7 linked regions of the Coturnix japonica genome follow. The protein of the gene in region 2 purifies or fractionates together with the protein of the main gene of each other region. This does not show direct contact. Links are inferred from orthologs where the notes say so. Each region holds a gene or a part of one and is shown on either strand. Other genes may lie near its edges.

The links.
Region 1: the proteins of HIF1A (region 2) and SEPTIN9 purify together in Homo sapiens (affinity purification with western blotting; 4 studies listed by BioGRID and IntAct, with this or other methods). This does not show direct contact. The link is inferred for Coturnix japonica from reciprocal best matches to the Homo sapiens genes HIF1A and SEPTIN9.
Region 3: the proteins of HIF1A (region 2) and YAP1 purify together in Homo sapiens (affinity purification with western blotting; 3 studies listed by BioGRID and IntAct, with this or other methods). This does not show direct contact. The link is inferred for Coturnix japonica from reciprocal best matches to the Homo sapiens genes HIF1A and YAP1.
Region 4: the proteins of HIF1A (region 2) and STAT3 purify together in Homo sapiens (affinity purification with western blotting; 4 studies listed by BioGRID). This does not show direct contact. The link is inferred for Coturnix japonica from reciprocal best matches to the Homo sapiens genes HIF1A and STAT3.
Region 5: the proteins of HIF1A (region 2) and KAT2B purify together in Homo sapiens (affinity purification with western blotting; 4 studies listed by BioGRID and IntAct, with this or other methods). This does not show direct contact. The link is inferred for Coturnix japonica from reciprocal best matches to the Homo sapiens genes HIF1A and KAT2B.
Region 6: the proteins of HIF1A (region 2) and LAMP2 purify together in Homo sapiens (affinity purification with western blotting; 3 studies listed by BioGRID). This does not show direct contact. The link is inferred for Coturnix japonica from reciprocal best matches to the Homo sapiens genes HIF1A and LAMP2.
Region 7: the proteins of HIF1A (region 2) and FASN purify together in Homo sapiens (affinity purification with western blotting; 3 studies listed by BioGRID and IntAct, with this or other methods). This does not show direct contact. The link is inferred for Coturnix japonica from reciprocal best matches to the Homo sapiens genes HIF1A and FASN.

The regions. Positions count from the first base shown.
Region 1 is NC_029533.1:3,250,072-3,254,339, reverse strand, and holds the start of SEPTIN9 (septin-9), read right to left. Parts: upstream 2,801-4,268; 5' UTR 2,743-2,800; coding exon 2,649-2,742; intron 1-2,648.
Region 2 is NC_029520.1:49,088,880-49,092,962, reverse strand, and holds the start of HIF1A (hypoxia-inducible factor 1-alpha), read left to right. Parts: upstream 1-1,283; 5' UTR 1,284-1,305; coding exon 1,306-1,415; intron 1,416-3,959; exon of another isoform or gene 3,960-3,974; coding exon of another isoform or gene 3,975-4,036; intron 4,037-4,083.
Region 3 is NC_029516.1:163,478,071-163,482,279, forward strand, and holds the start of YAP1 (transcriptional coactivator YAP1), read right to left. Parts: upstream 2,801-4,209; 5' UTR 2,529-2,800; coding exon 2,211-2,528; intron 1-2,210. Other genes in the region: CFAP300 (cilia- and flagella-associated protein 300), read right to left, coding at 3,563-3,688. UniProt on the Homo sapiens protein: Transcriptional regulator with dual roles as a coactivator and corepressor. Critical downstream regulatory target in the Hippo signaling pathway, crucial for organ size control and tumor suppression by restricting proliferation and promoting apoptosis.
Region 4 is NC_029542.1:4,519,762-4,523,690, reverse strand, and holds the start of STAT3 (signal transducer and activator of transcription 3), read left to right. Parts: upstream 1-1,129; 5' UTR 1,130-1,257; intron 1,258-3,929. UniProt on the Homo sapiens protein: Signal transducer and transcription activator that mediates cellular responses to interleukins, KITLG/SCF, LEP and other growth factors. Once activated, recruits coactivators, such as NCOA1 or MED1, to the promoter region of the target gene.
Region 5 is NC_029517.1:32,849,232-32,853,330, reverse strand, and holds the start of KAT2B (histone acetyltransferase KAT2B), read right to left. Parts: upstream 2,801-4,099; coding exon 2,564-2,800; intron 1-2,563. UniProt on the Homo sapiens protein: Functions as a histone acetyltransferase (HAT) to promote transcriptional activation. Has significant histone acetyltransferase activity with core histones (H3 and H4), and also with nucleosome core particles.
Region 6 is NC_029519.1:15,317,026-15,321,143, forward strand, and holds the start of LAMP2 (lysosome-associated membrane glycoprotein 2), read left to right. Parts: upstream 1-1,318; 5' UTR 1,319-1,392; coding exon 1,393-1,453; intron 1,454-3,830; coding exon 3,831-3,949; intron 3,950-4,118. UniProt on the Homo sapiens protein: Lysosomal membrane glycoprotein which plays an important role in lysosome biogenesis, lysosomal pH regulation and autophagy.
Region 7 is NC_029533.1:4,307,664-4,311,163, reverse strand, and holds part of FASN (fatty acid synthase), read right to left. Parts: coding exon 3,278-3,500; intron 2,996-3,277; coding exon 2,797-2,995; intron 1,818-2,796; coding exon 1,666-1,817; intron 1,201-1,665; coding exon 1,109-1,200; intron 958-1,108; coding exon 806-957; intron 538-805; coding exon 298-537; intron 1-297. UniProt on the Homo sapiens protein: Fatty acid synthetase is a multifunctional enzyme that catalyzes the de novo biosynthesis of long-chain saturated fatty acids starting from acetyl-CoA and malonyl-CoA in the presence of NADPH.

The sequences.
Region 1 (4,268 bases), on a different chromosome or scaffold from region 2:
TGCAATCAGGTGTTGCAATCACTACTAGTCACTTCCATGGGCTATTGTAAGGGCAGCATTAATAATTTACCTAGGATATGGCACTTCCTTTCCTATGCACTCATCCCTATATCAACACAGCAACCAGACTCTTCCTTTTCTTTAATGAAGAAGAAAAGAGCCCCGTGGCACTAACAGTTAAGGCTTTGTAGAAAGTTGTGGGCTAATGAAAACAGCCATCTGCTGGGGAAAGCTGCCCCCAGCCGAGCAGCACCCCGCTGCCACCAGAGCCATCTGGAAAGGCAGAGAGCAGGATCAGATGTGAGCGGGATTGCAGCCTCCGAGCACAGCTGTCCGGTCCCAAACCATGGGAGCAGGATGCCTGGAAACTCATTTTTGTCTTTTTAAGCAGTATTAGCTTGTGGAAATGTGTGTGATGGGGGTTAACCGGTTTGAAAGGAAAGATCAGGTTATATGAGATATGTTTGCGACATGTGCAACTCAAAGGTACCACCAGAGCCTACTGCCTTGCTACGGGGACAAGGAAACCTCACTGCCATGGAGCAGCTCCAACATCACCCCCTGCACTCAGTGCCTTCACCCCGAGAGCTTGTTGTCAGCATGGGATGCTGGACCAGGGACACTGCTCCTCTCCAGGAAAGCCTGAGCCGTCTTTGTACAGAGGAGACCCCATGGGACGTGCTGAGCTCCAGCAGCTGTGGGAAAACAGCCCTCAAAGAGGAGAAAAGCCCAATTCCCACCCGCCCCGAGGTGCCCTCACCCCATCCGGCAGCAATACAGTCAGCTCAAGAGTCAGCTCTTCCCACCCACAGCAGAATACTAATTAAAAGCATGTTCAGAGCCAGAGCAGTGACGAATGCAGCCCCCAGCACTGCACAAATCTGCTTTCATCTGAGTCATGTTTCGGTTTAATCACTGAGGTCAGAGTGCTGCTGCACTGGGGGCAGTTCCACCCCGGCCATGGGGTGCGAGGAGCACCTTCTGAATGGGGCAAGCTGTAGCCTGTTCCTCTTCTCCCCAGTGACAGTACACATTTTGCACAAAGAACCTCATTAAAGTTATTTCCTATGCCCCCATGAACGGGATTCACATTCTCTGCAGCCCCTCTGCTGCTGCCATGCTGAGGATCTTCCTCCACACGTCTCCCTCAGCCCCTCCAGATCAGGACAGACAGGAACAGCCCTACTTTCCCCATCCCCCTATCCCGTATTTCATGCTGAGCCACACATCAGGAACGGTGCTGAGACAGCTGGAACAGCTCTCCCATCCTGCAGGGCACAGCAGCCATGTGCCCATCCCGTGCCAAGCCCTATGGGCACAGTGCCTTAGTGTAAGGGCTGGTCATGCTCAGCTACGCCTGCCCCTATACCTGCCCACAGCCCTGCTGGTGCCACACCTGCAGCACTCACAGAAAACCTGTTTCCAGCAAGGGACAGAGAAATATGTATGTGCTTGGATGTAGGCAATTTACAAACATCACTCGTGACCTCAAGGATGAGCATAAGCATCACTGCACAGACATGCTCACCTTAGATCTTCCTACCCTCTGCTGCTGCACTCCTGGGAGCAGCGACAGGCAGCCCGGACACGAGGGCTCATACTGTGTGAAGCAGCTGAAAGGTGAGAGAGACCCACCTTCACTGCACCTCTGTAACAAAGGACCCCAGATCACACCACCACCCCAGCGATCAGTCTTTCTGTAAAGCCCCCATAGGGGAACCAGGGCTGCAGGGAGACCACAGCAGGAGGTGTGTGAGGTCAAACTGCAATGGGACCAAACCCACCCTGCTGCCCCCCAATCCCCACATCCCTGCACACAGCAGCTGAGGGCTTCCCAGCCTGCAGCACTGCCTCTGCCCCAGGAGCAGCTCTCAGGAATGCTTTGAGGTGGTCTCAAACCAGAGGAGAAAGCGTGAACAAGAGAGATGAGGGACAAGGATGCATCACCCACACTATGCAGAAGTGGTGAGGAGCAGCGGGTGCTCCCACAGGCAAGTGCCTTCCCTGAGACCCTCCACATATACCGAGAATTGGGCCCTGCAGCTCTGCCTGGGGGTTGGCCATGGCAGCAGCTTTCTCTGGCCACAGTTTCACTCCGCCCTGGATGAGCGTTTCCTCTCATCCCTGTGGTTTCCCTTTAGCAGTGATGCCCAGCAACTGGTTGGGAACGCCCAGCAGCAGGCTGGTGCCCGCCAGCTGTGCAAGGAGCACGGACACCCACAGTGACATCCCGCTGGGGCTCCCAGCTCCAATCCCTGCCCCTCACCTTCCCTCCATGGTTCCATGCACGGAGCCTCGCAGTGCACCCTGCCCCATCTCCCTGTGCAAGGAGCAAAAGGTTACAGTCGTGGCCACCCTGGACATGCTGCAGAAGCAGTTTGCTGAGACACCGATGCACCCAGGAGCGCATTTTGGAAGCGCTCAGACATGCACCAGGATTTGCACAGGAGTGACTCACTCCTCTTTCAATTCCCTCCATCCATGCCCTCCCCAGCGCCCCAGGCTCCACCAGGTGAGCAGCAGCATCAGCAGCAGGATGCCTGGCAGCAGCTGGGGCCACATCCATCCCAGCCGGGCAGGCGGCAGCACAGGGCAGGCAGAGAGCTCAACCACAGCACACAGCCACACACACGCACTCAGGAGCCAACCTTCAGGGCAGAAATGCGTCTCCATGCCAAGAGCTCGGCGCTTTTCCTCCCTCTTCCCGACTGGCAGCTCGGAGCTAACAGGCTCAGCATTCATCCCCCCGCGCCGCGCGGCACATGGGAACAGAGGAGGGGGGTGGGGGGGAGGTGGAAGAGAGAAACTCAAATGAGATCCAGACTCAGAGAGCAGTTTCTTTTTTCCCCCACTCGCTCCCCCCCTGGTTTCTGCTGGAACCACCTTCTGTCTGGAGGGCTCAGGAGGGAAGGGAAAAAAAAGGGGGGGTGGGTAGGGGGAAAAGGCAAAAAGGAAATGTTGCAAAAAATAAATAAATAATGGAATATGCTGAACGTGCTCCGGAGCGGGGCTGCTGCTCCTCCTAAAGTGCAGAAGCTGCTGGAAAGGTAGGAAGGGCAGAGGCAGAATAGAAGGTATTAAAGATCGATTGCCTACCTGAAATCCGGTCCCTCTCCATTACTACAGGATATATTTAGCATCCGCGTGTCACGGCCGTCCCTTTTTTCGGTGGCGTCCCCTTCTTTCACCCACTCTCCCTCCCTCCTTGCCTTGCCTCCTCCTCCTCCAAAAAAAGCTCTTTGTCTGGTCTAATTTCTTCAATCTGTTGCAATCATGAATGCATCCAAATTACCACATTTCCATGTGCTGATCATATGTTTGTGCTCCAAACTGAAGTAGCTTTGTCTCTTTGAAATGAAAAGAAAGAGGAAGGGAGGAAGAGAAAGGAGGAAGAAGGAGGAAAAAGGGGGTGCATGACCCCAAAATCCTGGAACTCCCCGAAATACTCCACCAGGCACAGGAAGAATGGAAATCCCAAGTCCTCTGTGAAACAGTCTTAAAGCCACAGCTCGTGAGTGTCGGGGGGAGCACTCCGCTCACCGCAGCTCTGTTAATATCCACCAGGAGATGCTTAGGGAACTTGGCTCCTCGCAATAACAGCGCCAACAACTCATCCAGCGTCTCCAACCTCTCCCCGCTTCCCCAGCCTGATTTTGCTGCTATTTCCTCTATCCCCTCCTCCTTCCTTGGCGAGAGCGTTTGCGAAGAGCAAAGCTCCTGCGCGTTCCCTCCACCCTGCCAGGTCTGAAGTTTCGATTCATGCATAAACTATTCGGCTGATGAAGGCTGACTTCACTCCCGGCACAGCACCACGGGCTGCTGCTCTCTGCACATGTTGACCCTCCCCTGCAGCCGCCGGAGAGCTTCACGCCTGCTCCTGGCGAGGATTCCCTGCTCTGCCTTGGCAGTTCCCTCTGCTCAGCCTCGACGGAGGGATGTGATGGGCCGGCCTTGCGGAAACTTCCACTTGGATATCGGCCAGGGCAGGCAGCAGGTCTATGGCTGCAACACAGGGATGCCTGTGCTCCCTGTCTCCAACCTTTGGGCACACAGTGGGGATGCCCCCCTCCAACTAACCCTGGGGGGTCACCACTGTTCCTCTGTGCCCCCCAAATGCAGGGATGCAGCAGATGTCCCCCTAAGTGCAACACAGAGCTGCTGTGGCAGATGGGGAGCACTGAGCAGCGGAGCTGACTGCCCACAGCCACCCCCCGTGCCACCCACTGCAAGTGCCTATTGACATCCTGCAGCCTGAGTCACTCAGCCAG
Region 2 (4,083 bases):
TAAAGCACTGAGGAATACTGAGGTTACCTGTGTTACAGGGTATGCTTTCATTTGAAACATAAAGCTGGTGTTGAGCTGTGCTCATCCTGGGGCTGCGAGCCTGCAGTTGAACAAAGATAGCAAAGTGAAAAAGGAAGGATGTGAGCTCAGCAGAGAGCTTGTTGTAAATCCCAAGCGTTGCTCAAGAGCCTGGGTTGGTGGAGAAGGGTTTAGGTTTGACAGTGTTCTTGTCTGGAGTTACCTGTGGGCAGAGCCCCCTCCGTCCTGTCCTTAGATAAGGGAGGCTTGGATTGCTGACCTATCACAGGTTGCTTTCAGCATGTGTTAGGCTCGTTTCTTGCCGCACTTGCATTTGGGTCTTTATCTCCCAGTAGTTAGTGAAGCTCATTGCTTGCTAACGATGTGCTGTGAGACACAGAAATCAGGGAGTTTTGACCCTGTGTGTCCCTCATTCTTACATAAGTGAAATTCAGTCATCACAGTAACTGGAAGCAGATTCACTTATGGGTTTGTGGCACGCGTTCCTTTGGGTAGTTCCAAACTTCAGTGTCGTTTGATTTCTCAAGGAATCTCAACACCCTTCCCCCGCCCCGTGTGTATCAGCAGTGCCATGATTATGCATTGACAGTCACTTGGATTTTAGCTATTCCTCAGTCATTGGAGCATTTTTATGTGCTTCTCATTGTGTTCTCCCTCCTTGTTGCAAGGGCTCAGTTTGTCTCAGCGTACGGAGCAAGTAAAACTGCTCTTGTGAGCTCTGTTTGCTTGTATCTACCATTTTATTCAGGTTTAGAAGCACGGTGACTTTCTCAATATTCTTTCAGCAAACCCTTGGTTAGGTGGCTCCTGCTGGGACAGGCTTTCCGTCCATTCTGCACTGTGATACTTTGTTATTAGGAGAGGGAATCTCTCAGGCTTTTAAGTACATACATCATTTAGAGTTACTTAAAAACAGTCTTGTTGACAAGCAGGTTTTTGAACTGTATTCTCTCAAGAGCTCTGGGTCTTCAGGTGGTACAGATGAGTTTGGTGTAGGGTAGTGAGTTGAGCATCTGAGAAGCTGATAAAGCTTTTCAGTTTCTTGTAGATGGGACTTGTATCATCTGGCATCAAAGAGGTTGATAGGAAGAAGCGAGGTTTTTCTGCTGTATCTCTGCCACTGAGGTCAGAGCCCAAACCTGCCTGAGGTGCCCGCTTTGGTGCTGCTGGCTCTGATCCTTAAACCTACATGGGGCTGTGAGGGTTTGTGTGCTGCTGCTTTCTGTCTGCATTTCTTTCAGCGCCGGTGGAACTGAGCCACCATGAATGGGGCTGAAAGCTAATACAAAAACCTTTTGTATGTATGATAACCGTGCCTTTCTGTGCTGGAAGAAGAGGAGAAAACTTTCTCAGTCTCCCTTAGAACTTCCCTGCAGGTATGGGGAGGGCAGGGGTGGTTCGTGGATTACATAAAGTGGCTGTTCTTACAGCTTTCTGGACTATTCTGGATTATTTGGCTTCCCTTAGGACTTAAATAACATTGCCGGAGTTGTCTCTTCTTTGCCTTTTCCTCAAACTTGAAGCACCTTCACTAGAAGTGATCAGAATAGACCACTAAAATGAAGGCAGCAGCGTAGTGCTGTGGCATTGCCTTCTGCTTTTCGAGGCACGGAAAATGAGCAAAGGAGCAGCTGTGGAGGATTTGCCCACTGTGGTTACTTAGTTTTGCACTGTCGGTGGTTTGGTTCGCTTTTGTCGGTGATGGTTTGGGGATCTGGTAGTGTGTTGGTGGGAGCAGCAGGAGGGGGTTGCTGGGTTTTGTTTAGGGATGTTTGCTTTGTACTTTTAAAACAACCTCCCCAGCCATTCTGCACTGAGTGGAGAGCTGCGGGGTGGGTGTGCTGGGGTAATGGGGGCTGCTGGGGGGGCTGGGATGGCAAGGGGCTGTGTGCTAATGCTGGCGTGGCAATTGGTGAGCTACTGATTTAAAGATTGAGGTCTGAGGTAGCAAATCTATCTTATTTCCTCTTCTGTGCAGGGCTTCCTTAGTTTAAGCTGCAGTTATGTTAAATTATGGCATTTGTAAGCCCCAAGAAATGTGATTCTGTGCACTCTGCCACCAGACCAGTGATCTGAGAAGATCGTACTGTTACTAATGTAACTACTGAGACATCTAACAGTGTGAGTGTAGTTAGAACTGCTTGTTCCTCCTCCGCATGGAGTGAAAGCAACTTGATAGACCTTTGTTCCCTCATATCCTTGAATTATGTGCCTGGAGTTCATAAAGCTGTTCCCAGGAATCAGATTGCTGATGGTGAAGTTGGGAGAAAGCAATTGAGCCGTTCACAATGCTATCTGTGTTGGCACTGTTTTGGAGTAAGCACAAACTCTTCTGAAGCTCTTAGGAGTGTGCGTGTTCTCCTTGGTGTGTTTCTTATCTGAAAGCCTTGAAGACTGTTACTGAGCCTATGTAATAAAATAGGTTGCATTCTTGTGTGTTCATGCTGCGCTGCTGTGTCTTGGGCTGGGTTTCAGCTGGGTTCTCATGACTTTTTCAGTATGAGAAGGAACTTTGCATCACGGAAACCACTGTTTTTATGCACTTGGTTTTGTGCTGCAAGGGAAAAATGGTCAGTGTTGTCTCATTGGGAGCTTGGCATTATAATATGCCAACCAAATAATCAGGCATTGTTCAGTAACGCCAGGTGGGAGGTATGGCCTGGCTCCGCGGTGGCATTAAGGGAGTACCGAGATTTTCCTGATACTGCTCTTTTGAGGAGATGCAAATGCAGATGAGATTACAGTGTGTTCTTTAAAAACAAAATACTTGAAAACAAAAACAAATCTTGCAAGAACTTCTGTGCCTCCTGTGTTGTTCACTGATGCCCAAAAGGAAAGAGGAATGTTCCAGATGACGAGTCATCAACTCAAGCGTTGCTTTTATCTTAACCTACACGGGTATATAGGCAGGTGTTTACATGCCTCCAAAAATCCTCGGCAGTGCATGGAAAGAACTTAGACCTTAATCATCTTTTCATGTCATAACAGCCCTTTCTCTTTCACATCTGAGAATTTTTGGGAGCCTCTCTCAAGAACCTTCTTTCATATTAGGGCAGGCAGGAGAATCTATTTTCCACTGAGCGCTGCTTGAAGATGGGAGATGCTTTGGGGTTTTGTGGCCTTGAGATGTATAGAAATGGGCAAGGATAAGAGAAAAGCCTTTAGTGTCCTTTAGTGACAGTAAATTCAGGAAAGATGCAGGTTTCCAAATGATAATTGGCCATGAAGGCTGGTGGGGGCTTCCTCTACTTGGGATGTTTTAATCTAAATAAGCTCTGGAGTGATTGGAAACATGAAATCAAGTGAATGCATGCCAGCATACGTATATACATATATTTAAATGGAGTTTATATAGGTGACGAATGCTTCAGGGTTCTTTGATGTGGAGCCATAGCCTCAGTTGATGTAAATTAGCACAGGTTCATTGAAGCTATGCCTGTTCGTACCAGCCTGATTTGATGCAAGATATCAGAATAAGTGCATTGATAAAGATAAGTTGCATCATATTAATAAAGATGTTAAAGAGCACTGGTCCCAAGACAGACCCTGACAATAGCAGGACATGGGGAAATGGTTTTAAGTTGAAAGAAGGAAGATTTAGGTTGGATGTTAGGGGGAAGTTCTTCACTAGGAGAGTGGTTAGGCCCTGGAACAGGCTGCCCAGGGAGGTTGTGGATGCCCCGTCCTTGGAGGTGTTCAAGGCCAGGTTGGACAGGGTCCTGGGCAACCTGATGTAGTAAAGGTGTATGTTTGGTGGCCCTGCCAGGCAGGGGGTTGGAACTACATGGTCCTTGAGGTCCCTTCCAACCCGGGTCATTCTGTGATTCTGTGATACTCACAATGTGGCACTTCTTTCTGCTGGAGCAGATATTCAGACCTGCACAACAATGTGGTGTTTTAAAATGTTGGTGTATTTTTTTACCCAGACATCTGAAATGTGTCGTCTGAAGCTGAAGAAATGGTGCTTTCAGGAAGATGCATTAGCAGTTCCTTTAAGGTAGCGAACACATAATGGATGTGTACATCACAGTGTCGGTTCTGTTT
Region 3 (4,209 bases), on a different chromosome or scaffold from region 2:
ATGAGCTCCAAGAGAGGGAGAACTCCTGGACTCAACCATCAGAGCTACAAAAGGCTGAGCACAGAGTTTCCCAACCTGCAGCCCAACTGCTCTTTAAGGGCACTCACAAAGAGCCTGCCAGCGCTTTATCTAAAGAAAGCTTCCGCAAACTGTTTGACCAGTCAATCAGAAGTGACTCAGAGACCATTCACAGAGCTGCCAGACTGAAGTACGAGAGCTTCTTTGGCAGTAGGAAATAGACGTCCAAAGCCAAAAAGACAAAGCAGAGCTGAAAATTGGGTTAAAAACCTTTTGGTAAATGGTAAACGTACCAAAAAAATTAATCATCTCATAGATACCCCAGAACGACATGGCCACGTGCACTGAGATGCACGTATCAGTCCAGCCACGCCTCTCCATGCAGGTATTGCACCATACAAGGCCCCACTTATATGCTCCTATGGGGACATTTTGCTACAACTATATGTGAACATGTCATTTATTAAACTGGAACCGAGGAGGCTTACTTTTACATTTAAGCAGTGTACGAGGAGCAACTGAATGGACTCTGAGGAGCTTTGATTTTTGAAACAGAGAAATACAGACGTCCTTTCCTGACTGACATTTTATGTCACAAATGAACAAATGGGAACTACGAAAATCACAGAATCACAGAATGACCTGGGTTGGAAGGGACCTCAAGCATCATGTAGTTCCAACCCCCCTGCCTAGCAGGGCCACCAAACATACACATTTACTAGATCAGGTTGCCCAGGGCCCCGTCCAACCTGGCCTTGAACACCTCCAAGGACGGGGCATCCACAACCTCGATGGGCAGCCTGTTCCAGGGCCTAACCACTCTCCTAGTGAACAACTTCCCCCTAACATCCAACCTAAATCTTCCCTCTTTCAACTTAAAACCATTTCCCCGTGTCCTGCTATTGTCGGCACTGTAAAAAAAACGATAGTGAACAACAGAGCAATGGTTCTCTGCCTCCAGCTGAACATCAAGGCTGCACTGTAGGAGCTCCTGGGTGGGATGAGAACCCAAGGAAGGAGCACACACAGAGGATGTGGAGCAACAGGTCACTGCGAGGGAACACCAAAAGTGCAACAGTTGCATGAAAATTAAATGCATGCTGAACTTGTTTAACTGCACATAGATACTGTGTTTGCCAAGACACAGCAACAAGAAGCAGCTGAGCATGTGCAGCCCACACTTCTGTGTAACCAAACTGAGATACAACTCACACCAAGGGGAGCGATCCGAAGGAACCCCATTAATTGGGTTGGATTCAAAGTGCAATTAACAAGTCTGCAGCTCAGAAGCGAGGCAAAAAACCATAGGAGCAGCTGAGCCCCACCCCTGCTATTCTCTCTCCAGTCTCACGCCGTAAAGGCTGGGCAGCCTTTCGAGTACGTGGGCAATGAATTAACTCGTGCCAGGGTTCCGCACGGCGCAGAGCCCTGGGAGCCGAGGGCCTTCACGAAGCGGCCGCTGCGACACGGAGCGAGTTTCGCTCCGGCTGCACAGATTGAGCGGAGGCGGCCCATAACAAAACCGACTGTGCAGCTCAACGTGAAGCTCGTTAGTTCGTAGTGACACCTGAGCGACGCGGCCCCTTCCCGTCGGGGAACGGCGGCGGAGCCCGCTGCCCTCAGCCCGGGACACGAGGGAGCTCCGCGGACGGAGCCGACCCGGCGCATTGCGGACATGAAATGGTGGAAGAGCCACATCCATATTGCGGGGGGGAAAAAAAAAGACAGAAAAAGTTTGGCACCGCCCGCCGCCGTTCCCCCAGCGGCGGACCGTCCCGCAGCGCCGATCGGAACCCTCAGTCCCGGCGCTCCCCGCACCGCTCCGAGGCCTCTCCTCGCCTTTCCTCCCGGCCGGGCCACGGAGCGGATGTGGAGCCCGAGGGCCGCCCGGAGCCCGGGCCAGGACGGCGGCCCCTCGGAGTGGCGGGAGGAGCGGGGAGAGGAGGAGGAGGAGGAGGAGGAGGCGGAGGAAGGCAGCGCGCTCCCGGCCCCGCGCCCCCCGCCCGCACCGAGGGCGGATTCCCGCCCCGGCCCCTTCCCCCCCAACCCCCACCCCCAGCGCACACCTCCCCCGGGAGGAGCCCGGCGGCGGCGCGGAGGGAGGGAAGGAGGGAGGGAGCGAGGGAGGGAAGGAGGGAAGGAGGGAGATCGGAGATCGCGGCTCAGCGCCGGGCCGGGCCGCCCCCCCTCACCTGGCGGGAGTGAGCCTTGGGCTCGGGCGGCTTGAAGAAGGAGTCGGGCAGCTTGCGGAGCCGCATGGGCAGCGTGTGCGGCACGTTGGCGCCCTTGGGGTTCATCACGGCGTTGAAAAGAGCCTCCAGGTCGGTCTCGGAGTCGCCCCGCACATGGACGATCTGGTGCCCCGCCGGAGGGGGCCCCGCGCCCGGCTGCTGCGCGGCGCCTCCCGGAGCTCCCGACACGTTGCCCGGGGGCTGCGGGGCCGCCTGCTGCGGGGCCGGGGGCTGCGCCGCCTGCGGCGGCTGTTGCGGCTGAGGCTGCCCGGGATCCATGTCTGGCTGCGGGACCCCCCCGGCGCTTCCTCGCGGGGCTGGCGGCGGCTCAGAGCGCTCAGGGCCGGCCCCGCATGCCCCGCGCCGCGGCTCGTCCCCTCGGTTCCCCCGGCGCTTCCTACCCCTCGGCGGGGACGGCCCGAAACGGTTCCGGCCGCGCGGCGCTGCCCCGAGCCCGGCCCAGCCCGGCCGGCGCCTCCGTCCCGGCGGCGGAAACTAACTCGCACAACACTCCAAACAAAAGTTCGCAGTTACGCCCGCCCGAATCACTCTGCGGCCGGCTCCGCCCCTCCTGAGCCCGCCCGCACCGTATCCGACCGACACGGCCCAGCTCCTCGCGGCTCCTGCTCGCGCCCGCCCGCACCGCCTCCCGCCCACCGGGCGCCCCGAAGCGCAGGGAGCGGCCCGGCCCCCACAGCGGCCCCTCGGTCTCCTCACGGCTCGGCCCGTCCCGCCGGCCCAGCGCTCCGCTCCGCGCTCCGTCCCGCCCGTGTCCCTTTTGTGCCGCCCGCCCGGCCGCGGAGCCGCGCCGCCAACCACAACTTTTATTTTCCCCAACTTCTCTTCCCAACTTCAGGCTCCCGCCGAGGGGGTGGGGAAGAGCTGGGAAGAGCTGCGGCGCTCCCCTCCCCTCCCCCGCCGCCCCGGAAGGGGGCAGCCCCCCTCGGGGAGACGTGGGGGGGGAAGGCCGGGAGGGGGCACGACCCGCCCGCGGGACCGAGGCGGCGGGGAGCCGGGCCTCGGCCTCACCTGGCGGTGGGACAGCGGCCGAGCAGCGGGAAGGGACGAGCACAGACACATCTGGAGGAGTTACTTTTATTAAATGGGCCGAAACTCGTGAAAACAGCATCAGGAGGGTCAAAACTGGGGAAAAAAAAGAAGAATCACAATAGTCCAACCCCGTGAGAATCAGAATAGTCCAACCCCGTGAGAACAGCACCAAAGACGGGGTGTGTGACGGGCGTTACACACATCTTTCCGTACCCACCGTCCCACCGCCCCGCACCGCGCAGCCCCCGCCCGGCCCGCCGAGCTCAGGGCGCGCCGCCCCCGAAGCGGTGGTACAACGTGTGCACGTGGCGCCGGGCCGGGTCCAGCAGCAGATACGAGAAGGTCTGAGCGTGGGCTGAGCGCGATGGGTAACACAGGCCGCTGCCGTCCTGACGGGAAGGAAAAAGAGGCAGCGTTAGTGCGGAGTGTGTCCCGAGCGGACAGTGCGTAGGATTACACGATTGGAGCCTGAAATCCAGCTGATTAAATACTCAAAGATCCCATCACGTCCCATTAAAACACAAATAAAATAGGTACGGGCTGCATATTAACACATAAAGTCCTTCTAACAACGCTTCTTTTTCACTCGGCGTTTAAGGAAAACCCCTCCGGAGCGCTCCGAGCAGCGCTGAGCTGTTACCGAAGGCAGTTTGTGCCACTGCTCACAAATATGCGAGGAGAATGGACGCCCCGCCCCAACCCGCTCCTGGCAGGCCGCCCCCAGCTGCCGGCAGCGCGGTGGGCTCAGCTCAGCTCAGCACCCGCTGCTGCCCGGCCTGCCCCAGCAGAACGCCCGGCACAGCACAGGAGCCTGAGGGGATTGTTTGGAGGCTGCTTTTCTTTCTGTCGGTTGGGTTTCGATGTATTCAATCCGGAATTCGAGCATCCAAAAGATCAGGAGATCCGTAGC
Region 4 (3,929 bases), on a different chromosome or scaffold from region 2:
GCCCCGACATCCAGCACATCCGGAGCGTTTCGGAGCGTCTCCTTCCTCCAGGGGTCCTGGCGCGGCTCCGGCTCGTGCCCACGTCCTGCACTTCCCCCCCCCCATTCTCCCCATTTCCCCTCTCGGTGCCTTCGCTCTGTTGCTGTAGTTTCACACGCGGCACCGCCCGGCTCAGCCCGCACCGCTCTCACACGCAGCCGCCGCCGGCAGCGGGGCAGGAGCGGGCAGGAGGCTGCGGCCCCACGGCTGCACGTGCGGGATGTGGGTGCGCGGGGCCGGTGGGATGTTCCCGTCCCGTCCGCCCGGCGCTGCCCCACGTGCCGTTTCCTTCTGGCCCCGCTCCGCCCCGCGCAGCCGTGTCCGCTGCCGCCGTACCCACGTATATAAACTCGCTTTTCCTCTCTGACCGTTCTCCCTCTCGTTGTCTGACGCCCCGCGGCGCTGCCCTGTGCCCGTGGCTGCGTGTCCCCGTTGGCGGCGCCGTGTCCCGCTCGGTGCGGCGGAGCTGCCGCCCGTCGGTCGCAGCGCGTTGGACAAAGCTCAGATTGTTTTGTATGACTGCATCCTGGTGAGCAGCACAACTAATAAAGGCTGTTTTGTAACGGAGCAGCATGGCGCCTGCTGAGCAACGGGACGGGGAAACGGCCTGAATCCAGCACGGGGTGGGCTGGGGTCGGACAGTCCGTACCGGGGGGTGGCCGTGCCCGGCCCGGAGCTGCGGGATCCCATTGCTGGGAGGGGGGGGGGTGTCCCCGCAGCGCGGACCGGGCGGTGCCGGGCGCTGACCCGCATCGCTCCGCGCGGGGCCGCTGCTGCGCTCCGGGAACATCGGGGGGTGCGGCCCCTTTAAGAGGCGGCGGCGGTGGCGGGTCGCGCGGTGACGTCACGGCGCTGCCCGGAACTCAGCGGGTTTCCCGCACGGCTGTTCCCGGCAGTTGCCACCTCCCCCCGCGCCGCCCCCTGCCCAGCACCGCCCCGCGGCGGGAGGCGGCGCCATCCGGGAACAGCCGGCGCGGGGCAGCGCCCCCAAGCGGCGCCGTCGCGATCCGTGACGTCACCTCGGGACGGCCGCGCTGATTGGCTGTCGCGGCCCGTCCCTCCCGAGGCGGACGGAACGCCGCGCCGCCATTGGCTGCGCCCCGCGTGACGTGAAGGGGGGCGGGGCCGGGGCTGCGGGAGCCGCAGTCGGGAACCGGGAACCGACCGGAGCGCGACCGTCAGCGGCACCGGGAACCGCCGGCACGGCCGGAACCGACGGTGAGAGTGAGATGAGTTATGGGAAACCGGGGAACGGAGCGAGAGGGAACGGGACGGGACTGGGAGGGAGCGGGGGGAGCGGGGCCGGGCCTCGGGTGCGACGGGCCTCAGCACGGGACGATCGTGGAGGCCCCGAAGCTGCTGCACCGACAGAGCCCGGCACTGAGCCCCGAGCGCGGGGAGCTGAGAGCGGCGGGACCGACATGGCGGACACTGCGCCGGGTGCACGGTACAACGCCTGGGCTGGGAACATGGAGCTGAGCCCTGCGGTCCGGTGTGTGGCAGCGCCGCGCTGTGCCGGGCCGTGCTGTGCCGTGCTGTGCCGTGCTGTGCTGTGCCGTGCTGTGCCGTGCCGTGCTGTGCCGTGCTGTGCCGTGCTGTGCCGTGCTGTGCCGGGCTGTGCTGTGCCGTGCTGTGCACTTTGAGAGCCAGAGCACAGCGGGGCAGGTCGCTGCCGGGGCTGGGCTGTGCTGTGGGGGTGGCTGTTATCGCAGCGGAGCTGCACCGTGGGCACTGAGCCCCGTCCAGGTGGCTGCAGCGCTCTCAGGGTGTCTCAATGTTCTCCCTCTGCTCCCTCTTCCTGTTGGTGAAGCCCCTGTAAGTTGTGTCACAGGGGGATGCTCTCAGGTACATCCAGGCACACAGAGCCCATCGTGGGGCTGTTTCCCTCAATGGCAGCACTGCTCGATTGTGGCTGTTGGGGTACGTGGAGCTGTGGTGCCACTGCTGAGCTCAGGCTGTCGTGCTCTGCCCTTGCAGGGAAGCTAAAGAAAGATGAACTTTAACTCTGGGGCTACTTTTAGCCGCTCTGCTCTGAGCTCTGCACAGCTTGTTTACCTCAGCGCTTGCGTCATGCTGTGCTCAGCCCCGCTCACATCAGTTGCTCTTTGGCTCTTCTCCAGCAGTGAGAGATGAACCACGGAGGCAGCAAACCCATCAGCATTGTTAGGGCTCAGCCCTCAGGCTTTTAAACCTGCCCCGGGAGCTTCCCCACAGCAGGATGGGCTGCAGAGGGATCTGTGTTGGGTTTTGGGCTGGCGCTGTGGAAGGTTTCATAGAGCAGGTGGTCAGGGGGTCACAGAGCATTGGGCACCACTGGGAGGGGTGAGCTGCAGTGAAGGAGGAGAATCCTCTTCCTGTCTCCTTGCTGCTCCCAGACGTTCCCTCCCTTTCCTCATCCTCCTGTGACTGATGGGTTGGCAGCCGCCATCAGCCGCTGCAGCAGAGCTGTCCCACTTGGCGAGAGCCCATAGCGCAGCACATTGTGTGGATGCTGTTCACAGCCCTTTTCCTGTGGTGGCGTGGGGGGAGTTTGTAGGTCAGGAGCCCATTAAGCTGAGGGGCGTAAAAACTCAATGTGGTGTTTGTGTCTGTGCTGATATCCCTGGAGAAAAGGGCTGAAAGGACCCATGGACCAGCAAGCAGTGAGCGCAGCTCAAGGCAGCAACCATCCCCACGGGCTGCTTCGCTCCCACAGCACTGAGTCCTTTGTGGTGCCTCTTATTGTACTGTGCGTATGTTCTGCAGCCACTTCCTTCATCACTTTGTGTGCCTGCGCTGGGAGGAGATGCCTGCAGTGGGATGAGGCTGAGCAGGTTGTTTTGCTTTGTGCAAGTTCTGTTTTTCAGGGATGAACGTGGCTGAGCACTTTGCAGGGCAGCTGCTGCTCCCTGGGCTGCACACAGGGTGGTGTGCAGGGACTTCTCCTTCAGTGCTGTACGGGTTTGGGTTCAAACACGGCCCAGTGAGACCCAGAGCAGAGCTTTGCTTATGGGAGACCTGCTTGGATCAGGGCAGTGCAGGGCGGGAGCTGCGGATGTCGGTGGTTTGTGGATTCTCAGCTCTTGGCTGTGTGTTTCTTGCTTCATTTCCCCCCCATCATGTTTCACACTGTGCTGGCAGCCTCTATAGCACTCAGCTAAAAGCAGTGTGAGCACCTGGGAGCGCTCCCTGTGCTGTGCCTGGTGAGCAGCCATGGGGTACAGCAAAGGGCCCGGCCTGTCGTGGTGTGAAAAGAGAAGTCCTGGGGTCACACACGTGTCAAACAGAGCCGAGTCTTCCCTCCAGTCTGACAGAATGTCTGTCTCCTTACAGGCTCCTGTTTCTCCTCCTCCCTTTCACCTATTGCTCTGTTAAATCCAGGCTTTGCTCACATGATCTTCTCTAGAGATTGCACCAGGCTGTGGTTCAAGGTTAATGTCCTCTGGATGCTGCTGTCAGCTGGGCTGCGCAATGCCACAAAGCTCTAAAAAGCAGCTTAACTCCTTGTCGGGTGCCAATCAATGTGTGTCATCTCCCCACGTCTCATGGTGGGGCTGATTCCCCTTTTTCTCCTCTAAGAACTATCCACAGAAATAGAGGAGGGGTCGCATACAACAAACACCAGCTGCTCTGGGGGGGACCCGGGGCACAGAGCTGTGGCCCCCACATCTCCCCCCCAGTCAGTGCCCATCTCCAGTGCCTCTGGGACAGCTCTGGTGTCAGCCATGTGCCAGCCCTGTGCCTCCTGCTGACGTGTCACTTGCTGGGGTTGCCTGCAAAAATCAAACCACTTTCTGGGGGAAGTGAGCCCGTGGTGAGGCTCAGTGGTGCTGCTGTGTCTGTGCTTCCTGCACAGCTTGCTGTCGCTCCTTCGGCTGACTCTGACTCCTATTGATGTGCGAGCCGCTCAC
Region 5 (4,099 bases), on a different chromosome or scaffold from region 2:
GAGAAATAACCAATTGCACAGAAAATCTAGCTTACTAAAATAGCACCTATTTCAACATATTTTTAAAGAAAAACTCCCAGTGGGACTGGAAAGAAAGTTATGTTTTCACAAACCAATAGTGTGAAAAAAAATAAAAAGACTTCCTCCTTCATCTTCATTAAACATATTGATGTGTGTAAGCGACACAGTGCCGCTTTTATGGAAAGTGCTGCAAACTCATGTATCCAATGCTGAATTTCACACCGGGCAAAACCAAAACGATGTATGCGGTCATTCATATGTGTGCAGATATAGTGACTGCCAAATGCAAAATGCTGCGCAAATACAGCTCTACTGTGTACTTCTAAAAGTCACGGATACTCTGCCAACTCCTTACATATCTCTTATTGTTCAGAATGCACATTCTTCCCACACAGACTCGGGCATTTAAAAGGCTGTTTTACACAGAAGAGTCTGTTCTTGCCCTTCTACCCCGAGCTTTTTATTTCACAGGAGAAAAGTCAAGCAGTGAAGCTCCATGGTGACCACTCTCCTGCCTCAATTCCTTAGCAGGAAAACAAAAACAAACCACTCAAACAAAAACAAGCAAACATGTATTTGCAGTCCCAGGACAGGGCAGCAGATCCCTAACCTCAGTTCTCACTCAGCTCAGCAGTACTTGCAGCCTTCTCTCCAGCATGGCACCTTTCCTCCCCCACCCCAGGCATTCTCCCAGCCACTGACATCTCTCCATCTTCTCACGCTGCTGCTCACCCCAGCAAACCCACGGTCTTTGCCATTCCCTGCATCTCTGGGGGTTAAGCTTGTAATACACTTTGTGTGCTGAAGTAGCAGCAATGTGGGGTGAATTTTACTTAGGCAAAGGTTGTTAACACTAAGGAAACTGTCACACATTTTCTGCCCTCCAACTTATACAGCTCTACATAGACCTGCAGATCAACATGGCTGCTACCACAGAAACCTCATTCAGAGATAGGCTGTTTGAGCTTTCACACGCACACAGAACAAGTGGAACAGGAGTTGCAACCCAGAGTAAGAAAAAGCTCAATGTTCCACTCTGTGCTGCTACAGACTCTTGTATGCCCAAGCAGTTTGGAGCCAGGTGTTCAGGAAGAAAAACAACACATCCTTCCACCCAGCTTCATCCTCTCCCTGTCCCACAGGAGAAAGCACTTGATGAGTTTACAAGGGTGTCTCATTGTTGATGTTCTGAGACCCGAAGGAATGTTGTCTGCCAGTACATTCCCGAAGGAAAGTTAGGTAGCAGAGGCCAGGTTTGCACTGGAATGCGCATAGGGAGTCACACTGAGTACTGTGCTGTGCCTGCTTACTGACAAGGGATGAGGATGAAGCCCAGGGTACTCCAGCCCCACACCCAGGTCCACCAGACAGCACCAAGTGGGCCTCCCTGCAGGACCCTTGGGATAATACAGACACCCCTGCAGGGCACGAGTAGGTGAGTGATCACTGTGCCACCAGCAGCCTGGGAGAGGTTTGGCAGGGCTGGCATCAGGCCCTGCCCTCCCTGAAACACCCACCTCTCCTCCAGCGCACAGGGGCTGCTGAGGCACAGAGTGCAGAGACACTGTTTCATCGCACTAGGAAAGCTTCAAACCACGTTCCCCCACCTTCCAAGAGAGGAGCAGGTTTCCAGACTGGCTGGTTTTAACTGACTGACACAGTGTAACCTCACATCATGCCGTGGACTCAACCAGGCCAAAGCAAAGACGCTTACACATTGGTGAACTGCAGAGACATTGAGGCACGTGGCTTTCTGAGCTTGCCCTCAAATGACAGTATTGCGACATGGCTCCAGCAGACAGCAAGCTCTTCACATCACCAAGCAGGGCAGCGGACCTGCACAGGGATGCTCCCTCGCGTCAGTGGGCATTTAGTTGGGATATTCACTTCATGCCTTCTTGGAAATCCCAAAGTAAGGGAACAGAAAGAACAGAAACACACTTTTCCAGCAAACTGCTCAATTATTTTCAGCACCGAGAGCATTACTGGAGTGTTTTGCATCAGCGCTGCCAACCGGAGCGTGTCAGCTCGCTGCGCATCCAGGAATCGCCCTGACAGCCCCGGCGCGGCCTGCGCTGAGCCCTGCACCGCACACGCACCGATACCGCTCCCGCTGTCACAGAGCCCCGGGGCAGCACAGCTCTAACCGCTCTCCGCACCCGCACAGAACAGGCAGGTCGCGGCCCCCCCGCGTCCATAAGCGGGCTGCAGGTGTAGGGACGGGCGTGTTACGGAGCACAGCGCAGGGCGGCAGCGCCCAACGCAGGGCGGTGTAGGAGGCCGGGGCAGGGCGCGGCGGAGGGCAGGGCCCCGTCGGGCGCTACGTGACGGCGGGGCCGCAACTTTCCCTTGGGCGGAGGCTGCACGCCGCCGTTCCCGAGGCTCCGGGGGCAGCGGGACCCGAGGCTCTGCCGGACCCGCCGTTTCCGCGGGGAGCGCCGGGCTAACAGCCGCGCTGCCTCCCGCCCGGCCCGGCACTGCCTTCCCCTCCCTCCGTCAATCCCCACCCTCCGTGGGCGGGTGGGCGCTCGCGGCCGGGTACCTTGCAGGCGGAGTAGACGCCCAGCTTCTCCAGCTTCTTGGCCCGCGGAGCTGCGCGCAGCTGAGCCTTCTTCCCGGCCGTGCGCGCCGAGCCAGGCCCCCCGGGGCTTTCGGCGGCGCTACGAGCCGGGCCCCCGGCGGCGGAGGCGGCGGCCACCCCCCCGGCTGCCGGGGAGCCCTGCTGAGGCCCGCCGCCTCCCGCCGCACCGGCCGCGGCCCCGCCGCCCGCCTCCGCCATGCCCGCGGCGCGGCGGCTGCCGCCCGCCCGTCCGGCCGGCCGGCGCGGTGCGCCCGGCCCTAGACCCTCCCCTTCGCCGCGCCGCCGCCGCCGGCTGCTCCCCGGGGGGGCGGGAGGAGGGCCCCGGCGCTCCGCGGGCGGCTCCTGTCCCGCCGGGCGGGGGGAGCCGGTGCCCGCCTCCCGCTGCTGAGAAGCGCGGAGTTGAGCGGTGGCGGGCGGCGGCCACAGGCGCCGAGTGTGGGCCCGACCCCAGGGGCTGAGGAGCCCGGCAAAGGGGCGGCAGCGCCGCTTCACCGGCGGAGCCCACGCGCCTCCCTTGCCCCTCGTAGGGCCACGGTTTGTTTGACTTCAGCGGTGCTTTTCCACGCTTTGCACTTTGCGGCTGCTTTTCAACGGGTTTGTAGGTGATTTCCAAGTCAGTCTATACATATCTGTAAGTTTATTTTAAGCGTAAAACTCAAAGATCCTCTGCTCCGTTCCCTGCATGGTCCAGGAACGTCTCGTTTTGGTCCCGGACCGAGTGTTGACAGCGGGTCATCCTATGTCTATTGCCTTTTAATTGAAAGCAACAATTAAGCAAGTGATCCCACAGCAGTAACTGCGCTGAGCGCGCAGGAGTCCCGAGGAAGTTACGCTCTGTCGCACGTATGTAAAATCGCGGTCGAGCCGTGAGAAACCGCAAATGGCACTAACACAGCGGGGCACCACGGCTTAAAAGGTCGGGATTGAGGCTGGGCTCTGGTGTGCGATCCGCAGCTCTTTGATGTGTCAACCTCGGGCTGCAATACCGAGAGGGAGGGGGATCCCGGTGCGTGTAAAACGTGCACTTGTAAAAAAGAAATAGCAGCTCCCGATTTCTGCACCTGCCCCGTTCCGTTCCCTGCCCGGCGTTAAAGCTGCCCCGGAGCCTGGCAGATGTGACAGCGACCCGTAAGATGGCTGCTGCCATCCCCGCTGCTTTAAGACGGTCTGTTAAGGTGGAGAAGCCGCTACGCTCGGAGGCGAAGGGAAACGCAGCCCCTGGCTGAGCAGATGATTAACGGGAATAAAAAGAATGAACCGAGTCGCTTCTGTTAAATCTGAGGATTCTTTGTTGTTACTGGAAGTGGTCGGATCGCTTTTAAAGAATGACAAACAGCCGCTGTATGATAACAACCACTGAAGAACGGTTTCCTCAGCCTCTCCGCTCGCGTTCTTTTATGTCGGCGACGTTTCCACTTCCCCCCCCCCCCCCGACTTGAAAATGAAACTATTACCGCGCAGTTTCACTTTCAGCTTTACCCCGCTCCGCTTTAGTGA
Region 6 (4,118 bases), on a different chromosome or scaffold from region 2:
CCCATTACAAGTGGTGTCCTCGAGGGGTCGGTTCTGGGGCCCATCTTGTTTAATATCTTCACTGATGACCTGGATGAGGGGATTGAATGTACCCTCAGACAGACACTGAGGCCTTGGAATGTGTCCAGAGAAGGACAACAAAACTGGTCTGGAGCACAAGTCTTACGAGGAGCGGCTCAGGGAGCTGGGATTGTTTAGCCTGGAGACTCAGGGGAGACCCCGTTGCACTCTACAACTTCCTGAAAGGAAAGGAGGGGTTTGGCCTCTTCTCCCAGGCAACAAACAGGACCTGAGGAAATGGCCGTAAGTCATATCCGTGGAAGTTTAAGCTAGATATAAGCAAGAACTTTTTCTCTCAGAGAGTGATCAGGCACTGGAATGGCTGCCCAGGGAGGTGGTGCAGTTGCCATCCCTGGCAGTGTTCTGGATGAGGAGCTACGAGCAGGATCGCTGCTGTTGCCTACACGAGTTCTGCTGCTCAGGACAAGGCAGGGAGAGGTGCTGGCTCAGGGCTGGACGTAGCGTGTGACTGGGGGCTATGCCCATAGAGCGGGACAGACAAGGAGCTGCTGATCACACTGCCTGCTTACAGAACTCTGCTTACAGGCATAATACGCCAGCCAACACATAGTTAAAATGACGTCTTGAGCACGCTTGTATAACACCCGTGTCCCAGCACCGCCTCCCTACCTTTGCTTCTGCCTGCAGGCTGGGAGCATGTTTATCCAGCTGTATCACAGCGTGAGCTCTCAGTGGGCTTTAGCAGGAAATCCTGCAGCAGCCTGGGCTCTGATCCCTTCACCTCAGCACAAAGCTTTCTTTTTTTGGCATTCCACGTGATTGCCCCGGTCTTGACTCAGCACTTTGCTGGCCCGGCAGCATTTAATGGTTTGGTTTCCCATCACCACCTCCTCCAGAAAAACAGCAGCTCAGAAAGGCCGCCATCTGCTCGGAGCGAGTGTGAAGTGCAGCTTTCATGCAGTTTAGATAGAAAGCCATTGTTTTAGAGCCGTGGCCATCGTGCTACCCCAGTAACAGCCGCAGCTGAAGCGCTCTGCTGCCAGGCTGTGCTGGGCAACGCTGTTTCTCCCACCATTTTTCCTTGTACTGAACTGTAAGCCGCCCTGTTACTTTAGCCCTACACCAGATGCTAATTTCACTCTGCTCTATTGCACATCACCCGATTTACTTGTTATGATATCTACCATCCCTCAGGGCCGCTGCACACAGAAAACCCACCCGCCCGCGGCACCGCGAGGGGCGCAACCGATCCGCCAACCGCGGGATCGAGCTCCGCCCGGCGCTTGGCGGCGCCGCCCTCCCCTCACATGACCGCTGTCGACGCTCTTGCCGCGCCCGCCCGCCCCTCGGCAGAGCCCCTGTGCCGGCACTATGGCCCCGCGCCGCCCCTACGGACTCGAGTTGTTGTCGCTGCTGCTGCTCGGAACCTGCGGTGAGCGGGGCGGTGCGGGGTGGGTGTGGGTGGGTGTGTATGGGTGCGGGTGCGTGCCGCTGTCCCTGGGGCCCGTGACGCGGCCGGTTGCCGTAGTGCCGTAGTGCGGGCGGGGGGGAGCGCGGCGGGGCCCAGCCGGACCGGGCGGCGCCTCCCAGGGTCGGAGCGGGGCGAGGAACCCGCTGCGTGAGGCCTAATGCAGCCACACGGCTGTGCGTGCAGAGGGGAAACGGACCTTACGGGGCTCCTGCTTGTCCTTCTGCTGGGGCAGAATAAAAAGCGAAATAAGGACGCTCTGATCGGGAGCCACAGCTCTGGGTGTGAAGCGCGGAGCTGCGGAGGGGCATCGCAGGCTTAAGGCAGGCTCCGTCCTGCCTATAGCCTGCCGTGTGACGGTGGGCTCTGCCGTCTCCAACGCTGTTATACAAGCAGGGTGAGAGGAGCTGGGATGTCGCTCCGTGCCATGAGGCTTTGGGGCCTCTGCTTTTCAAACGGTGTGCGATAAGCGTCGCAGTTCATACGGGGCATGAGGAACGTGTGCTTTCTTATGGCATCTGGAAGGAACCCCTACTGGGGAGGAAACACACCGATATCTGCTTTTACAGTTGCAGTTACTTGCTGTCAGCATAACTAAGTAGGCCAGGGTGTGCCTGGTCTGCCCTATGAACTTGCTTGGTGTGGCATTTCTCTTTGCTGTCCTATTTGGTAGCACCTATGCTGAAATATCCCCTTTGGAGAAGTTAGTTTCAAGCTGTTTTCCCTGCGGAGAGAGCACCTGTGTGTGTGTGTATGGGTTGCACTGGTTGCCCAAAGCTTTAGATTTGGCCACGTTCTTTCTGAAACGAGAAGCACTGGTGCACAGGTGCAGTATCAAATCCCTCCTCAGCTCAGAAGGGAAGGACTTTTAGTGTTGCTGGAACTCCAAACTGACTCTTGGCAACGAGTTCCGGTGCTACGTGGTAGCAGATTGCAAAGCTGTTATCTCTCGGTTGCACCATCCATCTCTGCACAAACAGTAACTGTTGTAAAAGCCACACTGCACCGTTGCTTTAACAACGTGCAGGCTCCTAGCCTAGGCATGAGACGTACTGCTTGGATCTGTTACCCTGCTTACTGAGAATCAGTAACTAAAGAAGTATGGCTGTTGTCAGGAGACTCTTAGGGCTTATTTAATAAGTTGTTCTGTGAGCTGTTGGGGACAGGGTGCGTGTTTATGTGCCTCCTGTAAATAAATAGAGTGTGGCTTGGGTTACTGAACGTGATGCTTAAGTGATATCATCAGGTGTTATGCTTGGTCGGGTGGGGTGATGTATGTGCTGCCATTGTTGAAGCTAGAACTCCTTGAGGTTTACTGCTTCAGGTTTAGAATAAACCATTTGAAAACCTTCATTTACTGCCTTGTCCTTAGTCTGAAGTGTTCTTACCACATAATAGTTCCATTAGGGTTCCAGCACTGATAAATTAATGGTGTGGTATTGAGCACAATTTGCTTCAGAGCCAACATGGTTAAGTTTCTCCTGGCTCTACCTCGGGTACTTCTTACTCTGAACAGCATCAACAATGCAGGCTGCACTTGAATGCTGTTAAAGCCAACTGTCTTGTGTGCGGAGCTTTGTGATGCTGGTGGAAGAGAGCCAGTATGGGGCAGGGAGGAAGTCCTTAATGTCAAGGTGATGCAAAGCGTGAAGTACTGTGGATTCTGTGTGTTGAGGGGTGGAAGACTTGAATGGCTATTGAAGAGAACTGTGCAATCGTAGTTACCATCACTTTAGGGAAACGAGCCTGACTAACATCAACCTTATGTTAGTCAGGAATGATGCTTCTAACGTTTCGATCCTGTCTGTTTTAGGGAACTGTGGCAGGCTGGGAATGCTGAACAAAACCAAATGAGAACTGGCTTTGGGGAAGTCTCTGTGTTGGGAGTCAGGCTGGGTTAAAAATCCAACTACAAGTTCTCTAAAACCTTGAATGAAATTTAACATCCGTGTCCTTTGAGCCAGAAATTGTAGAGATGCAATGAAAGCACACTGATCTGAGAGGTCAGCTGGAGTCGTGCCATTAATAAGACAACATGGAGACTCTGGTCGACAAGCACTGCATTGTTCTAAATGCTGTGCTTGTGCAGTTTGGTTTACTCAGTTTCAGCCAGCAGAAAGCTAAAGCTCATCTAATTTGTTGGCCTTGGTCAGGCAAGTAGACTATAAATTATCCTCTCAATTAGTATTTAGCATTGATGGTGGGCTTCCTAGTTTTAACATTTATTAGATATCTGGCTATCGGTTCAGTGTCTGACAAATAGAATCCAATCTGAAATCATGTACTACTTTGTAATGAGCATCAAGTCTATGTTTTAATAGCTAATAATTGTATCTTACAGGTTTTTTCCAGTCCTATGCAGTGGAAGTAGATGTAAAGGATGCCTCTAATGTTACATGCTTGTATGCACAATGGATGATGAAATTCTTGATAAAGTATGAAACAAACAGTAGCGATTATGTAAGTATTTGGAGGAACTCTTGTTGAGAACTGCATTTAGCATGAAATAAAACTATTTGATACATTTTGTATTTAGTTTATTGGCTTTCTTGATAAAGGTAAAAGATAAAAGCCTAAAATAATCATACTGATCTTGTGCAAGGCTCCATCTAACCCTGCCAGGTTTATA
Region 7 (3,500 bases), on a different chromosome or scaffold from region 2:
CAAACTTTTGGTCACTACTGGACACAAAATAATGGAACAGACAGACCTCCAGTCACCCTATCACACAGTTCTCAGGTTCTCATGCAAACCTCTATGGAAATAATCATACCAGCAGTACGACCATGACTGCTAAGGCAAAGGATGCTTCTAGAAACAATCAGAGGCTGAGGTACAGCACATCAGTCCTCACTTTCCTCCCACTACAGGTTGAAAACACTATTCCTCTCAGAGCACACTGCAGCAAGACCCCTTCTAAAAATGAGCACCAACTATGCAATGACTAGACTTTGCATTTACCAAGGATGTGAGCAACAGCTTCTACAAGATCCCGTTGACTTCCTCCTTCACTTTTCACAGAGACCTTCTCTGCCAGGACAAAACTGGACATGACAGGATGAGGCTGATTCAGGAACATATCGAGCACCTCCAGGCATGAGCTGATTTGCTGGAGAACAGTTCCCCCAATCACAACCTCTTTGTTTGCCATTGCCTTCAGGATGCCTACATCACCAATGGCTCCCCACTGGACTGCCAGGCCTGGTGGAGAAATCACAAGGAAGAACACACTTAGCAACTAATTTAAGCACATAGTAACAAAAGAGAGCTAAAAACAGCTAAGCAAAAGTCTGCATTTCTCTTGCACTATTTACAGAAGGATCAGTTTTCTTTCACATCTGAATGATTTAGGTTAACAGCAGCAACAGGAAACAGTCTTCACTCCAAAAAGAGATTCCCTGTGAGTTGGTTCTCCTCTGAATGTCTGGTAGGATTAGATTTTTCCATGCAGAGAATGAATTCATCTTACCTGGGAGCCCATCGTGATGCCGCTGCTCACAAATACGCTCCATGGCAGAATTAGCAAAGCCGTAATTACTTTGCCCAGCATTTCCTCTTCCACAGCTTACAGAGGAGAACACAACAAAATAGTCCAGGTCTGGGCACTTCTTACGAGTCACCCTTGAAATAGAACAGGTGACAAAGAAACCCATTAGAAAAACTGGAAACCACATGTTGCTGTGGAAAGCTAATCTGAGACTGAAATATTGAAGCCTGGTCAACTCAGTGATCATAAACACAGCACAGATTTGTCCTTTCCACAGATACTTACCAGTCCAAATGAAGGGTGCCTGAATACTTGGGCTTGTTGACCTCCCAGAATAATTCTGGGGTCTGATTTTCAATCATGGCATCTTTAAGGACCTATTAGATTGGTTTAAAACAAAGAAATGGTATCAGTATCTCAGTTTATGTTTAAATTTCTCACAGATACAAGAGGATATCACTATACAATTCATTTTTCTAGTTTTACAGCACAGACGTATCCTGGATGTCATGAAATATAAGAAGGCCAATATATCTATTGCTAAGTCTGCTCTTCTCAGTGCTGCCACTGCAGACTTCAACTGGTACAATTTACATAGGGTTCTTCTTGTCCCTAGAGGTCATGGGTAACATTCACTTTAACCCAAAACTGAGCTGGCTGGTCACATACTGCTGCTTCCCAGGTTAAGGGACCTTAAGACCCAAAAGCCTTCAATCATTACCTCAGGCCAAAGGAAAACACCCTTTGAAACAGAGACAGAACCTAAAACTGCACAAAAGTGGCAAAAGCCACTTTTAATGTCTGCTGTCTCTTGCAAGTTTCTAAGCCTTATTGGCACTTACCACAGCCAAATTAAAGATGCCCCCAACTGGTCCGAGCTTCAAAGCTTCTTCTATCAAAAGCTGCGTTCCTTCTAGAGTTCCAACATCGCAGGTAGAGACCAACACTTGGATTCCCAGCGCCTTCCATTCTCTGACACATTTAGCCTGGTAGCCTTAACAAACAAACATACACATGGGATGAAGCACTCAAACCATCTGGCTTTTATTAATCTGCTTCCTACAGTAGTCAGAAAGACAAGACAGGGACTGGATAGCTGAACAAATCCCAGTTCAGCTACAAGAGGAACAACGAACAAAACCTGCATGGTAGAAAGAAATCACTCAAGTTTTAGAGTACCCTAAACAGATCACAAAGACAAGAGATTCAGGAAAACAGGGTGGGAGAGCACATGAGTTACCAAGACAGGAAAAAGCAGCAAGATTAGATCAAGACAGCAGGCAACAGTGGGACAACCAGAACTTGAGAAGTATAAAAAAGATTTGAACTATGTTTGCAGAAGTTGTGAACTTGCTAAAAGAACAAAGAAATTCATAAAGACCCAAATTTTGATAGGGCTGAATTACCCCAAGGGAGCATTGAAGATCAACACTGATAAGGAATCCCAGTACTGAGATTGCAATCAAATTATCCACAATTATCCAGTAAAAAAGTTTCTGGTGTTATTAGATAGCAGGGTACGGCCTTTTATATGAGCCTTATATAGGAGCAAAAGTGAGCAACCACACTCAATTTAAGGGAAAGAGCATCTTTAGCAAAGTTACTACCACTGAACAAAGCGGTGATGTAACTGGATACAGACTTCATAGAGGGAACAAAGCTGAAAATTAAGACTGCAGGAAGAAAATCCTGGGTAAGAGAGAAAGAGACAAACATGGTTTGATAGACTTAGGATGCAGAATAAAAAGAAGAAAGAAGTAGATGGAAAAAAGAGGCAGACTTCAAAGATACTTCATCCTTCAGAACAAAATGAATCACAGCTTGTTTGAAGTGAGAGAATATACATGAGAGAGGGCAAAGAGTTATGAAGATGTTCTTCTTTGCTGATAAAACACTTAAAAATTGAGAGAAACAGCAAACTGAGGTCAGTTGAAAGGAAAATGCGTTCCCCACCCTCTGTGTTTTCTGCTCACCAGTTCGTATGCCAGAGCGAGATGTCAGTACAAGCTTCTGTGCTCCTCTCTCAATTAGCCACTGTGCCAACTCAAGCCCAAATCCTCCTAGGCCCCCTGTGATGATGTAAGACTTGGTAGGTGGGCAGGAAGTTCGGGAGATGGCAGAGAGTTTTACTGGTTCAGACCTTAAGGGATATTGCTTCTCCTCGTCTTGGATCTTCCATAACAAAACAAACAAAAAACATTGAAAAGCACATTAAAATTGGATGCACAAACACAAGTCTTTCCACATGCAACTATGCTCCTCCAGTCAATAGGGAATCAAGCTTTTGGATTCAGAGTGACAGACCTGACAGTGCTATACATGCCACAGTGTCAGCAGCAAAAGCCATAACCCCATGCTGTTACACAACTTCAAGTTGAACTGGATCAAAATACCCAATACTGTCACCTACAGAGGATGACAGGCATCAGGGAATCAACATCCTTATCTTGTTACCTTGATCATAACTTTGCCAATGTGTTTTCCTTGCGCCATGAACCTGAAGGCAGCTTCTACCTCCTCTTTATTGAAGACTGTGGTTTTCAGGGGTTTTACCACACCATCCTTGATGCCTTTTGTTAACAACTTGGATACCACCTCCCACTCTTGGTTTCCTTCCTCAAAGATTGAATCCAGCAGGATTCCATGAAACGCCACATTCTTGAGGAAAAGAGCCATT